Linked DNA regions of Caenorhabditis elegans. The protein of the gene in region 1 purifies or fractionates together with the protein of each later gene. This does not show direct contact. Each region holds a gene or a part of one and is shown on either strand. Other genes may lie near its edges.

The links.
Region 2: the proteins of F59A3.12 (region 1) and gsnl-1 fractionate together in Caenorhabditis elegans (co-fractionation; one large-scale study listed by BioGRID). This does not show direct contact.

Annotation. Positions count from the first base shown.
Region 1 is NC_003279.8:5,512,609-5,516,800, forward strand, and holds F59A3.12 (MIF4G domain-containing protein), read left to right. Parts: upstream 1-2,042; 5' UTR 2,043-2,060; coding exon 2,061-2,104; intron 2,105-2,151; coding exon 2,152-2,296; intron 2,297-2,339; coding exon 2,340-2,491; intron 2,492-2,537; coding exon 2,538-2,646; intron 2,647-2,695; coding exon 2,696-2,928; intron 2,929-2,975; coding exon 2,976-3,039; intron 3,040-3,081; coding exon 3,082-3,219; 3' UTR 3,220-3,417; downstream 3,418-4,192. Other genes in the region: F59A3.2 (SPK domain-containing protein), read left to right, coding at 1-243, 295-636, 681-919, 968-1,200, 1,257-1,406, 1,453-1,854; F59A3.13 (G_PROTEIN_RECEP_F1_2 domain-containing protein), read left to right, coding at 3,494-3,571, 3,618-3,688, 4,079-4,124, 4,167-4,192.
Region 2 is NC_003283.11:9,495,350-9,500,168, reverse strand, and holds gsnl-1 (Gelsolin-like protein 1), read right to left. Parts: upstream 3,128-4,819; 5' UTR 3,065-3,127; coding exon 2,990-3,064; intron 2,665-2,989; coding exon 2,590-2,664; intron 2,544-2,589; coding exon 2,442-2,543; intron 2,399-2,441; coding exon 2,201-2,398; intron 2,143-2,200; coding exon 1,829-2,142; intron 1,757-1,828; coding exon 1,675-1,756; intron 1,628-1,674; coding exon 1,511-1,627; intron 1,465-1,510; coding exon 1,339-1,464; intron 1,297-1,338; coding exon 1,003-1,296; intron 941-1,002; coding exon 896-940; 3' UTR 793-895; downstream 1-792. UniProt on the Caenorhabditis elegans protein: Calcium-regulated, actin-modulating protein that binds to the plus (or barbed) ends of actin monomers or filaments, preventing monomer exchange (end-blocking or capping).

The DNA.
Region 1 (4,192 bases):
GTTCCGATTAAAAAATGAAAATGGATTATCGATTGATTTATACGAAGACGGAATGATTGCGCCACTTCGAAATGTTTTCTTCAAAAAAGTAACTAGAATTCCATATGATTCAAGCACGGAAATTCGAGATCGCCTGTCTACTCTCTGCCAGAAAAGGAATATTTATGTGACAAGAGAAGAATTAGAAGATGGAAGAAATGCGTTCGTACAATATTGTTATAATCTTTCACTAGATTTATTTCTGTAGGTTTATTTCTTCAAATTGATCACACGAAATATATTATTTCATTTCAGACATATCCTTTCAACAAATGTTAATAAATTCACTGGCAGTGTGCAGATTCAGGCCTTTCGAACATCTGAAGTTCACTCAAATCTTCAAATTCACACCGATACGACATGGTTCGGTGGATCGGCTAGGCTGAAGTCAATTACTTCGTCGACATTAGAACGTGGACGTCCGCCTGCTTCATTATGGCTCACAATCCCATGTGAAGAAAAAGAGCATCTTTTGGAGCATGTATTCGAGCATGGTCTCATTCAATTGATGCCAGACGGTGCTAAGACATTTTTTGACGCTTGGATGATTGGGGTTCGGAAAAGAATGAGAAAACGATTGACAAGTGGAGATTTGAGGTATCGTTTCACTCGAATAATCCTTAAAGTGAATAATTTTTCAGACAAGTAGTGGAGACCGTAATGTCAGAAAGTTCATACAACAGAGAAATGACACTCAACGATGATCGAATAGAGCAATTCGTTGTCAAAATGATTGACAATGTGCTTAACACAAAAAAACTTAAAATCTTTGATGGAAAATGGAAGGACTTTACTATTGATCTGATTAAAAATATGAAAGGAAACCCATTCGGAGAATTCCCTGATTGCCAGAAAATTATTGGAGATGTTTGTGAAAAGAGTAAGATTTTATACTTTTGTTTACATTTTAATCACCTTAATTTTTCAGTGAAACCATCATATCTTTCTCAGCTAACTACTCTGTTCTCCAGTTCACCATCCGATCAGTCAATGCTCGCCCACACTCTACTACAACTTCTTCGATTCGTGGTGTGTCTCTCTTTGAACACTATTCGACATGCTTTTCACTTCCATCGTGAAACGTTCACCGTCTCTTTCGACGGACAACTTGATGATGAAGTTACTGATTTTGATGATTTCGATCAGACAATTTTTTGTGAGGTAAACATACCCAATTGTTATTTAAAACCTTTTGTATAAATTATTTAATTTTTCAGTCATCATCTGCCAACTCGTCCTGCTACCCAACACCACCAATTGAACGTCACATTTTGAGACCTCGCGTGACTCTACTACCAACTCCAACTCTTGTTTTTGTTCCAATTTCGCCTGTAAAGAATCTTCCGAGTGATTTTAATCCTCGAATTGTAAGATTGCATGTATCATAAAATATTCTAAAACCATAATTTCCAGCCTCCTCCTCAAATTTACTCGTCACCTGGGCAAGCCTTGTTCAATCCAACAAACCTCTACCCAACTCCACCATCGTCACTACCGAATACATATGTACCGAATCAGGAATCCTTCGATGAGAGCGTGAATCGAGATAAAAAATCATTCATTTTCAACAATCACTCGAAAGCCAACTTCTCAAATCCAACGTTAACGGCAGAAGTGACAGAAGAAGAACTTCTAAGTGCCCGAGCACTCCGAACACCGTCAGTTGTCAGTGGATCAATGCTTAATCAACTGGATGATGAGGATGGGGATTTACCGAAGAAATGGGTCAATGCTTATAAGCTAACGTTGGAATGGAATCAAGATCTGAAGTCTGAACTGGAAAAAGTGAAAAATCGCTTGGATAAACTTTCATGACATAACCTTGTTATTGAATTTGTTTTGTTATTTTCTTTGTTTGTTGTTAAATTGTCTGTTAATATCAGTTCTAGCGTTCATAAATTTTTTGTTTTACGAAGGTATCAATCTGAGTTTGAAAAATGGATTGACTCGATCATTCATTGAAAATATTGTAATCTTATTGAAAAAACCCTAATTTTTCTCAGGTTTTGCAGAAAGAGAAAATGAGTCAAGTTACATCAGAGGATCAAGACGATCTATTCCTAAAGTTTGATTTTTCAAAAGAACAACAAAAGTACGTTTTTAATTATTCAGAGATCTACAAAACGGATGGGAATCGGTTCCCACTGGAAATTCATCTAATAACCATTGTTTTGACAAAATGTACGACTTGTATGGTGTTGGAGGTGTCAAAAACGTGCTTTGTCTTCGACTTTTCGCCTCATCCCTCTATGAAATTGTAAGAAATGCTCAGATATTTTGGAAAGAATATGAAATTTCAGTCCAATGGAAGTAAGGATGCCCAAAAATTGATGATAACTATCTTCGGTGATCGTCTAGTTCAGAAAATCGCCCATTCCGATTTGAAAATTTACGAATCCATCAGAGAGACTGTACAATATATCGCTTGGAAAATCCGAAAATGCCAAATTTTGTAGGCTTCTGAAAAAGTAGCACAATATTTTCAAACTAACTTTCAGAATTTTCCGCCGTACAAGTGAAAACCATGGATGGCAAAGTGTTCGAGACATTCTGATCAAGATTCTTGGTAACGGAGATAGTGCTCGAGATGATTTGATTGCTGGAATGGTAGTTTTTAGAATCTTTTTATTTGTCTTAATTAAAATTTATTTTTCAGTCCTCCATGATTCTTCGCGACATTTATCACTGCCACGTTACGGAAACAAGCTTCTTGGAAGAAGGATCACTTTTATCAAAGAATTGCTTCAAATATGTCTTTCGTGTTGCTTTCCTTCTTTTCAATGACTCAATCGGCGAATATATTCTTGGTCGGAAGGAGAAGTTGTGCTATGAAATGCTCGCTTCTCGATTGGTTTACTTTTATACTCGACTGGCTGCTGACACTTGGAGGTTAGAAATCGATATTCGATTCTAAATTCATACGTTTCCCTTTTCAGAATTCTTGTTGTTCGCAATGGACCGAAAGTAGAGACGGAGTGGTACATGATGCGTGGCGTACAGGTAACTTTATAAAAAATTGCCCATATTCCAAATTATTTCCAGTTGCGAGATGAGATCCCGGCAAGTTCGAATCAAGACTCCAAACTGACCCAGCTCCAAAAAAACAACAACAATGACCCAATCAGTCAACAGAGACCTCAACTCAGCTTTGGAACTCAGAAAACTATTCAAAGAGCCTAACTTTCATTTTATGTATTTGTTTCGTGTGTTCTACTAGTGTTCCTTCTTACATATCAGATGTTGTATTTATAATCTATATCTGCACCATTCTATTTCCTATCCCATTCTACTTGTGTCCTGTTCTCTGGTCTCAAAATGATCACTATGAGATCTCTTTTCCATAAGTGTTAAAAGCGTGCCATAATGAACTGTTTTATTAAATCGACGTGAGAAAAACGCATATGATTTTCATTTAAAAAACATTTTAATAATGTGAAACACATAAACCTGAAGAATGCAAAAGACTAATCGAAAAAATGCGGGATTAGATTTATCAAATGTGTCAGTTCGTGTGTTTGGTCTCAAAGCAAAAGTAGGCTCCAATTTTTAAATTAAATTTATTAACTAAACATATTCAGTATTGGCTCATTTATTTTATTGTCGTTCAACTGGCTCTAGGAATCTCGAATTTATTGTTTCTCATCCTCAGGTAAACATTCGCAAATTCAATACTTCGCTGTTTAATTTCAGCTTTTCCCACTGGTCGATTTTTATTACATGGCCGCAAAAATGGAATAGTAAAATTAAGCCACGGATTTTTTTCTCCGCGGCCATGTAGCAAAAGTCGATCTGTGGAAAAAATTAAAAGGTTGTGAAACTAGTCGTAAAGTGAATTATTGGTTTAGTTGTTCTTTATTTGCATTTATTCAATATATATTTCTCTGACAGTCTCAAAAAGATCTACAAAAGAGCCAGTTTTGTAGGAAATTTAATTTCGATTAATGTCTTAGCGTGGCCGAGTTTTATCTTTTTCGGATATGACAATAAAGTATCTTTTTGACCACCAAAATAAAATAAAATATATTGATTGTCTTTTCAGTGTAATCAACAATAATAGGACAGACACATCGAGTGGGATATTGAATGTAATAAAACAATAAGTTAATCGAATCTTTTGAACATTTCAGCTTTTCTGCGTTCTTCTACTTTTATC
Region 2 (4,819 bases), on another chromosome or scaffold:
TATTCGTTTTGGATAACGTTCAAAGTGTAGTGTAAACGAGTTCCTGAAGTTTTGAAGATTAGAAAGTTCAAATAATTCAAAGTTTTTCTCGCCAAAAATGTTTAACTTATTTGTAATTTACTTTCGCTAATTTTTCAATTTTTATTTATTTGAAATAATATTAGAATCAGAACAATTCTTTTTCCCAAGAGTTAGTGAAGGAGAGGATTGTCTGAAAGGCTGAATCACGGTATAGGACGATAAAAATAAAATTAAAAAAGTTAAATCAAGAAAACACAATGACATATTTGCATGAAATTGAGAATAATTCTTCTATAGGGAACAATGCGTTCAGAGATTTTTCACGTTCTCCCCCTCAGCCTTGTATTGCAAATGCCCGACACTTTTCCGATTTTCATATTGTTCCGTCTCGGGAAAATATTCACGCTTCGCACGTTTCGATTTCTCTGTATATAGCTTCCTTCTTAATTCTTTCAGCAGTTTATTTTTCTTCGTCCAACATATGTTTGTGTAAATGTTCACAAGACATATCAGATTCAGATTGAAATCAGTGTAGCCATGGAGACCCAGCAGTGTGTTCTGAACAGTTCTTTCACAGGATTTCAAGGTCGATGATGTAGAAAAGGAAGAGTGGAAGCTCTGAATGAAAACGATACATAAAAATGACACGTTTTCACTTTTTCTCAGAAGAAAACGACGAAATACGATGGTTGTGGGGCAGACCGAGGAGCTGATAAAGATCTATTAGCTACGATCTTCTGATGTACCCCTTCACTTATTTTGTAAAAAGTTATGATCAGGCAGTGTTTATTATTTCAATGAGTCATTTTAAATTACATTAGAAATGTAGAAACATTATAAGATACAATGAAAAATTAAAATTAAAAAAGTTTAATTAGTGGAAGAGAAGGCGACGCATGTTCTGCACGGATCGAACTTCCTGAAATACAATATGTTAGCTCATGATATTTTTTGTTTTCATAAGAGTATTTAATTACTTACATTCTTGAACAAATTATCGTCCCAGGATGGGAAGAATTTCTTGAAAGTTGGTGGTTCTTTTCCTTGGAAGATCGTGTCAATAGCTGTTTTCTTGTGACGTGGCAACTTATCTTTTTCCAAGTACAACTTTGCAGTGTTTAATGCTTCTTTCTTCTCATTTGCATTAGCATTTGCTCCAACCCAAACGTAGATGGAATTCAAAGCATCCAAGATCATGACATCATCTCCATCAAGATCTTCTTGAGTGAAGTTTGCAATTTCCTCAACATGAAGAAGACCGCTTTCATCGGAAACCTGAAACTTCAATCTGAAAATTGCTCATTGCATCAAACCAACTTGGAAAAGGAGTGGAGTGAATGTGTTCTTCTTTTTCTCATCAACCCAATCACGGAACCATTGGGTGAATTGAGTAGATTCAGCTGATTCGAGAACTCTAGTAACTTGTGTCCAGCGGGGAAGATGCTGAAATGTGAAAGGAATTATTTTCGAAATAAAATAATTATCATACATGCTGTTTCAAATAGTTCTGCCCCCAAATAAGAGCCTTCGATCTTTCTTCAAGAGTACATTCATGTCCAATCCAGACGAAGATTCCACCATTAATTGCATCAAGAATGAAGGCATCCTGAATTAAAATAAAATTGTTTCAATTAAACTGATTCGGCAACTCACCTTGGGATCAAGTTGCTCTTTTCGAATATTTTCGCCTTGAGAAACCATGCTAACTTTAGCAGCACCAGATGCGTCGGAAACTCTGAAATAAATCAATTTTCAATAGGTTAAATAAATTCCCTTAAATTCCAGTCAAATTTCAAAATTGTCTTACTTCCAAAGTGTAATTTGCTCCGTAAGTCTTTTCCAGTAGTTATCATCGTCATCTTTTCCCTTTGACACCTTCCTAACGGACGAAACCCCACCAAAATAACTCCAGAATGTTGAATCATTATCCCATTCAACATCATCAAGAATATGAACTTTCGGGATTCCCATTCTTTCATGATCAGCAATATTCTTGGCACGAGCCATTCCCTTGATTCTTTCAAGTCTTCCACTCTCTGGTGGCATCCAAACATAAAGATCCTTTCCCAGATCCAAAATGAATACATCTCCCAAATTAAGAGAATTCACTTCACATTCCACCTAGAATTGTATTCTGTGTGCTTTCAATGTCTCTTATCTTCTATTTATTTTTCCTTACCTCCGTGCATCTCACATTTCGTTTTCCCTTACAATGGAACAAATGAGGTTTCCAGTTTTTGAACTGATCGTCTACATGACGGTATCCAGATTCATAACCACCAGATACATAACGAATTCCGTCAGGGAAATAGGACAAGAAGAGAGGAGATTCGTAGTTTTGAATTTCACGATGTTGGGTTGGAATTCCACCGAGAGACTGAAACAATCAAATTTTAAAACTTTCTAGAAGCATTTCTTACATCGTCAATCTCTACAGTCTTGATTGCTGCAACTCCAATTTCATCAGTCGATGCATTCTTTCCAAGCCAGAAATGAACATCCCAACATCCATCGTACTTTTGCTGTAACCATCTCTTTTCATATATTCTGTTCTATAGGAAAACATACGTAGAGTGCAATGTAGGCGTCTCCAATGTAAAACACACCATGATCAACCTCGGGGACCGGCTCCAACACAAATTTCTGAAATTGCGAAACATTGGAACTGATAGATACGTGGGGAGGATAAAGAAGATATTGGGGAATATTTTTGACACAAACAACTTGATATGACACATTTCAAAGTTCAAGGGTTTAAACGTAGGATGAGTAAGATATTAGTTTGTTGATGACAGTGCAAGATTTTAAAACTATAGACCACTTCCAATGACAACTAATTTTGAACACACAACATTTGTAATATATTTCAGAATATTTCACTTAAAATATTAGGAAATAATTGTGACTGTACCGTAGTTCAGACTAGATTTGACACTGTAAATGTTACTCCATTGACTACAAAACGTACATTAATTCTCCAAACAAGAAGCCCGTTCTTCTTTCCAATCTCGGCCAATGCTGGATCCAAGGATGTTCCTCCCATTGTAGTTTAGAACTTTTTTGTTGACCACCAGAATCAACAAGCAATGAAATGAGCAGAGAAAACGACCCTTCCGCATCCTATGGACCCGTCAGAAAGTGTAAAAAACGTGTGTTGTCTGTGTCTCTAATAATTCAATTGCTCTCTCACCAATTACTTTGAGCATTTTACAATGTGAATGGGCGGGAGACTGACGATTAACTTTCTTGTTTGTCTGTTTTGGATTTAGATTGTTCAGATCATTAAATGAAGCTGTGCAATCCAAAGGTTCACATGAACATAGAGCGATCAAAGTTTGAGAAGATTTGAATTTATTATGAAGTTTGACCATGAGCAAACCAGAATAACCATTGAAAATGTTTAAGTCACCAGAACATCCAGCTTTTCTTCAATCAATGCTTGAATGTCACACTTTGTTTTTAATTTAGAGAAAACCGCATCAAATTCCGTCAATCCACATCACTCCAACCCACCAATTCCCAACCCACCGCCATGCACACCAACAATAGTTCACGTGTAAACAAAAATCCTTCACATAACTCCACGCAGAACCAACCACCTCGAGTCTCTATTATGCAGCCCGCTAAGAACGTCCCAAAAAACTGAGCGTGTATTCTAAAGGTTTTTTATTCTCAAAATTAAATTGTTCCCCAATCCCAGGCCTCAAATTAAATGTACTATGTGCCAATATAAGATCTGTTAATGCTAATCGATTAGAACTAATGGGGGAATTGACCACAAATGAACATGACTTAGTCTGCTTGCAAGAAACATGGCTTACAAGTAAAACGCAAAACTCTATTTTCAATAATAAAAACTACCAGGTTTACCGTGCAGATCGTCCAGATGAACAAAGGGGCGGCGGAGTATGTACTCTAGTAAAAAATAGTATAAGCTGTAGTGTGGTTCTTGCAGAATCGAAACGCAAAGCTTTCGAAATATTGGTCTTAGATGTCAACGTCAATGTCACTCCACTACGCATAGTAAACATATATAGGCCTCCAACCGCATCTTTTCATGATACTGTGACTTTGTTGAATAAGCTCGAAGACATAACCGATCACCCGGGTCAAATTGTTATACTAGGAGATTTGAATGTTAGCAGTATTAATTGGAGTGGGCAAGATCCACAATCTGATACCCGATTAGGCACAATGTTAATAGAATTCTGCAAAACCCAAAAATTGAAACAGTTCGTAACCAACCCCACCAGAGCATCTAACATCCTTGATTTGGTCTTTTCTAACCTCAATGTTTCAAAAATAAAAATTTTTTCACCACTAGGAAACAGTGACCATCGTAGACTCCAGTTTAGTATTGATCTCCTACAGAAGCAACACACCGCCAGCAAGGAAGTTTATGATTTCAAAAATATTGATTGGAACAAATGTGTTCAGTGCATTGACAATATAAACTGGAATCAACTCTTTAGTGCTCACAATTCAGTGAATGACATGTTTGATCAGTTTTTAGCAGAAATGCAAAGCACTTTTGAACTCTCAATCCCGAAAAGAACTGTTAAAGCAGATGAGATATTCCTTCCACCGTACCTCAATGCACTGAGAGATTTTGTTGAAATTACTTATAGAAACGCTTTAAATTCAAGGGACACAAAAGACTTTCTGATTTATGTGGCCGCAGCTAAACGGTATAGGAAAAAATTACTGAAATATCGTAGAAATGTTGAGCTTAAGAACCTAGAACAAAGAGGGAATTCTAAATTCACACACGACGTAAAGAATTGTCTAAAGCCAAAAG